Linked DNA regions of Lytechinus pictus. The protein of the gene in region 2 interacts with the protein of the main gene of each other region in a pairwise test. Links are inferred from orthologs where the notes say so. Each region holds a gene or a part of one and is shown on either strand. Other genes may lie near its edges.

Evidence for each region.
Region 1: the proteins of E3 ubiquitin-protein ligase DTX1-like (region 2) and beta-arrestin-1-like interact in a two-hybrid assay, tested with the Drosophila melanogaster proteins (2 studies listed by BioGRID). The link is inferred for Lytechinus pictus from reciprocal best matches to the Drosophila melanogaster genes dx and krz.

What each region holds. Positions count from the first base shown.
Region 1 is NC_087260.1:3,961,548-3,965,307, reverse strand, and holds the start of beta-arrestin-1-like, read left to right. Parts: upstream 1-996; coding exon 997-1,031; intron 1,032-3,760.
Region 2 is NC_087246.1:30,365,822-30,369,581, forward strand, and holds the start of E3 ubiquitin-protein ligase DTX1-like, read left to right. Parts: upstream 1-1,536; coding exon 1,537-1,727; intron 1,728-3,760.

The DNA.
Region 1 (3,760 bases), on a different chromosome or scaffold from region 2:
TGATTATATCAAAGATCATGCACATAAAAAACACTATTTCATAAATATCAATGAAGAAGCTCTTCAAGAGGATTTCATAATGTTCACTGTATTTTTCTCGGTCATTAAGTGCTGGTTGCATGTAAACATAGTGCTATACTCTATATATTAATAGAGACAGACTCTTTCGGTTGACATGGCAACACTTGATGGGTAGAGCGACGGGTTTTTATTAATCAAATAACGATGCAGAATCCCCTTTGCTTATTAATTTTGTTCTTGAAAATATATTTTCTCCATCACACATCTCTCTCTCTCTCTCTCTCTCCCTCCCTCTCTCTCTCATACACACACACACACAAATTATATTCTCCCTCTCTCCCCTCCCTCTCCCCCCTCTCTCTCATACACACACACACACGCACAAATTATATTCTCCCTCTCTCTCCCCCTCCCTCCATCTCTCCCCCTCTCTCTCTCACACACACCCACACACAAACACACACCACCCTTACCACTTTCTCTACCCCTCTCTTTCTCTCCACTCTCACACAAACACACATTTATTCAATATCTCCCACTCTCTCTCTCACTAACATACACACCCACACACGCATACACACCATCATACATTCTCTTTCTGTCACTCTCTTTTTCACTTTCCCCCTCGAACCCCACTCTCTCCCTCCCTCTCTCCCTTGCTCCCTCTTTTCTCTCCTCTAATTTTCTCTTTCCCTCCCCCAACCTTTTCGCTCGCTTTCGTTTTCATATCTTTTGTTCATCCCTATCCGTTGAAGATATTTTTATCTTCCTCGATCATTCCATCAAATCCATGCGATATATTACCACCCCAGACCTATTTGTTCACATCTTACATCTCTATTAACCTTGTTCATTGTGTTGACATTTACGCCCTTTGTAACAGGAAACTCCGAACGAGCCTGATACAGATTCATCTTGGCAATACCTGAGACCACTCTTCATTTTATCTCCGAATCCGCCAGAATTAAGAGCAACATGTCAGCAGGGTCTAAAGGCAAAAGTGGAACAAGGTAGGCAAATCAAGTTAATTTATTTTTATTTTGATTTATTTATTTATTTTTTTTGTATTCGAGAAGTAAATCTAACCATTAAAGAAACAATGACTAATCAGCTATATTCAAAGTGGAAATGAATTAACAGAATAGAACTGAAAATCAGATTCCGATTTGTTTCTGAACATTTTATAAAGGATAACCGTGGATGTAAAAAAATCCCTGATCCAGTAAGGGGGGAATCCCCCATCCCCACCCAGACCCTTGCTGTGTCTACCGCTTTTGCAGATTTCCATGTTGGCAAGCATGTTATAGTCGGACCAATCTAAATGAACACGATGATTAACACTGCGTGTCAAAGGATTCTTATCTCATATTCTATTGCCTTTGATAATGGATGTACCTCAGGGATATATACTGGCCCCTTTTAACTTTATATTCATGCAAATAAACCCATTATTCACTTGCAACATCCAAATCGTGGTAAAAGGAACATGTTTTAAATTGATTCATAATAGATTAGATCTCCCAACTAATATATTTTCCCCCATTTTTTAAATTCATTTTTTCATCTTTAGAAACCTATTACCTTTGATGTGTTTAGAAGCTTGGTGTTTCATCATAAAATGACCGAGTGCTTTTCAAAAATTATTTTTCAAATGGATCTTAATGGATACATACATATATATATATATATATATATATATATATATATAAGGAAAGAGAGCTCTGGGGAACCTTGATTTAAGCTACGCCTACCATTGTTCTCTTCATCCATTTCTTTACAATATTTAAATAAAAAGAGTTGCCAATACTGTTGTACATGTATAACTTTACACATTTGTATACATTCTCCCATACGTGTACTGTATCAAAGCAATAGCTTTGATCCAGCTGAGGCATGGCGGTTTGTCATTGTTAAAAACCCACCTTCACCCGACAAAGGAAATTATAATTGGTATAGTGTCGAAAATATGTCTAGCTGACGGTCAATCGGATTGGGGTCGCCCTAGCCACTAACCCGTCTCTGTGGTCTAGTGGTTAAGGCACCGGCGTTCAAAGCTGGGGGCCCGGGTTCGATTCCCGGCAGGGACATTTTTTCGGCATCACCAATTTTTCCAAAGGGTAGAGAGCTCTGGGGAACCTTGATTTAAGCATGGACCTATGAAAAGATGGACGATTAACGCGAGCATTTCTTTGACCCAATGATAGTCACCGTCACCTGGTTATGCGCATCTTAATGAGAACATACAGGTGTTATAACAATAGCAATTACCATGACTACCAAGGGTATCTGATCACTCAAAGACGGAACAGTTTCCCGGTCTTGATTTTTGTTGGCTGATCCCCTGTTTCAGTATGTGCCTTTCAGTCAATATGCTTCATATATGGATCAGCAAACTTGAGAAGCAGACGATTTTTATGATATAAAATATGATATTATTCGATCCGCTAACTACCGCTCACACATAAGGACCTCAATAACATTGAAAGATACACGATCTACACATGTTATGTGCCACGTATATCTGGAATATTATGGAGAAACTTGGGAAAATTGAATTTTAAATGGTAAACAATCACGATATTGCCTCTATATTAAAATATGCAGACATTTCCCCAAATAAAACACATGGAACTAAGATTAACAAAGGTAAACAAAAACTGCACATCGATTATCCATTATTTCATTGATTTTCTATCAACTGCGCATATAATTTGTGAAATATAAATGTCCAATCACGAACTAATTCAGTCCCTTCTCACGGTGACGATCATAGGACCAAAGAAGACTAGTATGAAGAGAATGTTATTCAGATGACAATTACCGTCACCTGTTAGTGAATTCATTATCTAAGCGATGAATGTCCATCTCTTCATAGGTCCATGATTTAAGCTACGCCTACCATTGTTCTCTTCATCCATTTCTTTACAATATTTAAATAAAAAGAGTTGCCAATGCTGTTGTACATGTATAACTTTACACATGTATATATATATATATATATGTATATATATTCATTGATATAATTAATAGACAAGTAGAAAGATTGGAGTTAGATAGGTAGACATATACAGTAGATATATTTAACGGTAATGTGTTCTCCGTCAAGGATAGGAAATAATGAATAAATTAATCTAAGAATAGCTGAAGAAAATTTCACTTTCACTACTTTCCATTTATCCTTCAAAAAAAATTAAATGAACAGGTAAATTCACTTCTTCGGCTTTTCTTTGATTATTTTGTTCATTATTAAAGATACTGTGAGTATACACGGGGATATAGACAAGAACATGGGTTTAGAGAAAGCATTGACTTGAATTCTGTTTCTTGACTATCTAAAAATAAATTCAAAATGAAGGGGAAAACATGACGAGTGCAAGCTAATATGAGTGAAGAGGCGTTACCTACACTTGAATGCACTCGAAATGACGTTTGAGAGGACAACTGGTAAATTTGATGCCGTTGATTTCCTGTCAATTTCCTGTTCTAACAAAAATCATTTGTGAATATTATCGAGGTGACTGTCGTTGGGTTGAAGCCATTAGCATGCATGCAGAATAGGAAAGAGATGAAGGGGATTTACTCTTTCCTTTTCTTTTGTACAGTATAATTTTGATCTTTTTTTTTGGTTGTTTGTACTTGCGCGATGGAAATGTTTCACCTGCACATCCAAACATCCGATTACCACTCACACGGAAACACCGCACTCGCGCACACACACCCACAAATACACACTTCGACA
Region 2 (3,760 bases):
CCAAACTGAATTGAAATATGTATAATTTAAAAAAATAAAATAAAATACAAAAGAAATAGTGAGTGAGGGACATCATCAACTCTCTCATTTGTATGTTATAAATGCTCTGTGAAAAAAGGGAAAATCATAAATCCGATTTTGATAACTGCTTACGGTTGTCAAGCTCCATAGTATTCAACTTTTATGCGGTTCATCGGTACATGCAAAGACCTCGGATCATCGACACCGGTCTGCATGGTATCCGACGGTCCCGGGGGGGGGGGGGGCAGTCAAATGTATTGCTGTACACATGCGTGACCAAATTATTTCCAAACACCCCTTAACGATTTTTTTTCTCTGTGTGCAAAATAACCCCCTAAACAAGTTTTTGCGGGCTTTATTTACACATTTTGGTCCCTATAAAACAAGTTGTCGCGTTGACAGCGAGGTGACAAATTTCACGACCGTTTTCCCGTTTCCCAGGCCCGTTGCAGGGTCGTTGCTTAGTAGGGAAGAACCCGAACATTTATCAGAAACGAGGAGGAAAAAGCCCCGGTGAAAAGTGGGGGGAAAGGCTTGGATGGACCTATCGAAATCAATGCACAAGAGATTCACATGATCAAACACACTAAACAATTAATCATTTCTAAAAGCACCTTTTTGCAGACATTAACATATCTCACTACTAAAAAGTAATCGAAGCATGAGTAAAAAAGGGCTTCTTTGTACAGACCTATCGACTATTAGAAGGGATGTAGTTACCATTTGATCCTCATCTTGAAGAATCTTCTTCCCAATTAACCTTTCTTCCTCTTCTTTTTTTTTCTCCCCATTTTTTGCGTCGCCAATGACGGGGGGGGGGGGGGGCTGATCCGCCGGCTTTGGAATAGAACTTCCCCTATGTAGGAGGTCCGAGGTGTAGCAAGTGTGTAAAGTTGAGTATGAAACTGCTGAAGGGAAAGGGTAATCTGCACTTCCATTTTAAGAAATGGCAAATTGATAGGCCTACATGAATAATGCTAAGTTAGTAAGTGGTATAAGAATTTTTTTTTCATCTCTACATTATTCCTTGTCTTTACGTGCAAAACTTACATTTTTATGCCATTCAAATTTGTTATCATGTTCTTCCATTGTTTTAGAAGTTTTAACTAAAGACAAAAAGAAAAACAAATATTCATCTCGGCATTTGAAAAAAACAGTAGGCCTACAATGATTGGCGCAAATATTTGGCGGCATATGCCTACATTTTCTGGGAACTTTCTATCTCACGGTGCGGACTGAGAAAAGATAGTTCCAATTTCTGGAATGTCGCCATCTACGGTTTATCTTTGTTTACTATACCGGTAATGATTTCGCTGAACCAATTACACGATGCCCGTCTCGACTTGTCCCTCATCTGTGCGGAGGCAACGGCTAGCGCTTGCTCTCGCATGGTCATTGTTCGGCTCATCTGGAGCAGAGCTGACCCCTTCCGCACGAAGCCTCGCAGCGCTAGCGAAGTAGTGGATCGGCGAATTGCTCCTACTAGCTGCTCGAATGAATGAGGACCAAAACAATATGGACGAGGACGATGTAGTTGTGTGGGAATGGTTTTCCGACCACGGACGATGGCGAGCTTACGATCCGTCCGTGGTCGTCGAATTGGAAGCGGCATATGGCAGAGAGACCACCCTGGCACTGGCGGATGTTGACCCAGCCTTGTCATCTTATGAAATAGATTTTTCAGCCATGCAACAGTATCGGACCACGTCAGGTTAGCCGGGTTGTTTATCATGTTTTTTGTTATTGTTAATCTGTTGATGTTTGACGCTAATAATGAATGGTAGATCTGCGACTGAGTGCGAGTAGCCTGGAGGCGTCTGGGGAGTGAAAGACATATACTGTACGTATGGTCCCTCCCCTAACGCCTGGGAGCCTAAGCTATATTCCCACACGCACGGGTACAAAACCTGAAACTTTCGCCCCCGAGATTTCTACTTTCCCTCTAAAAGATCTAGCCCTAAAACATGTACATGGAGTTAAACTCCATTCCCAACATTTCTGCGATATTGATTACATTTTTAAAGAAGAATTCATGAAAAAAAACGAAGAAAATGTTATGAAAAGATGAGAGAGCTTACGGCCGTGTTTACGTCGCCATCTTGATTTCTTTGTCTTCCGCTTGGCGACAGCACGCAATCAGCACGCGATTGCGTGCTGTCGCCAAGCGGAAGACAAAGAAATCAAGATGGCGACGTAAACACGGCCGTAAGCTCTCTCATCTTTTCATAACATTTTCCTCGTTTTTTTTCATGAATTCTTCTTTAAAAATGTAATCAATATCGCAGAAATGTTGGGAATGGAGTTTAACTCCATGTACATGTTTTAGGGCTAGATCTTTTAGAGGGAAAGTAGAAATCTCGGGGGCGAAAGTTTCAGGTTTTGTACCCGTGCGTGTGGGAATATAGCTTAGGCTCCCAGGCGTTAGGGGAGGGACCATACGTACAGTATATGTCTTTCACTCCCCAGACGCCTCCAGGCTAAGTGCGAGTGCAAGTTTCATATCTATCAACTCCAAATTCATGGGAACCGGCGGGTATAACGTTAGATCAAGTAACATGCCCAAGATTCGACATGTTAACATGGTTAAAACCGATAAGCTTTTCTGAAATATCAGATCATGCTGAATATTTGTTTTGTTCCAAAATTTCTTTTCACAAACCTGACAAAGTGAATTGCACCAATGTTTGTGACGTGAATAGTGTAGATCTACATACCATACATTACCTCGAGCGAAGTTCGTGCAGGCTCCACTCCACTTCACTACCGCTACACTATGCTCCACCTACCCGAACTTCGAGACCATGAACTCAATCGGATATTCCGAGTGACAAAAGGTGGGATTTTATGGGGAGAAAATACAAAATTCATGCAACATCACGATCTTTAAAAACAAGTACAACTAATATTCTTACTTTACACAAAGTTTCACTTCTTTTCCATGCTTCTATGAGTCTCAAAATTGATGATTTAGAGCCAACACGTAATAATTCGCTGCCGATTTAAGAACATTGCATGCGCGCGAGGGTCCGAGCTCGGACCAGACGGACCAGACCCGGTACCTCCCGCACGCGATGTTTTGAAGTCGGCAGCGCATTAATATTTATACGTGTGAGGAACTTCATATTGGCTCTAAATCATCAATTTTGAGACTGATAGAAGCATGGAAAAGAAGTGAAACTTTGTGTAAAGTAAGAATATTAGTTGTACTTGTTTTTAAAGATCGTGATGTTGCATGAATTTTGTATTTTCTCCCCATAAAATCCCATCTTTTGTCACTCGGAATATCCGATCGAGTTCATGGTCTCGAAGTTCGGGTAGGTGGAGCGTAGTGTAGCGGTAGTGAAGTGGAGTGGAGCCTGCACGAACTTCGCTCGAGGTAACCGTACATGTACTAATACTATGTAGACTCACTCATTCAATGAACAAGGTTATGATATAACCTTGTTCTCAGTTACATCTCCATGTGTGGCAAAATAAGGGTGGCAATGTTTGGCTTATTTTCTCTTTTTCGTTCGGACAAAATACAAATGCTTGATTTTTTTACACTGACAGTTTCCATTACACCTATTCATCATACAAGTTATGTAAGTGCATGTCAGACAAAAAATTGCTTATAAACAGGATTTTGTGTGCAAAGTCAATGCAAATTATGTTGTCAACCAAAAATCATAAATGTATGAATATTTTTAGTTTTGCTGGTCTAAATGTATTTATGTTATGCTTTTTATGATCTCAGAAG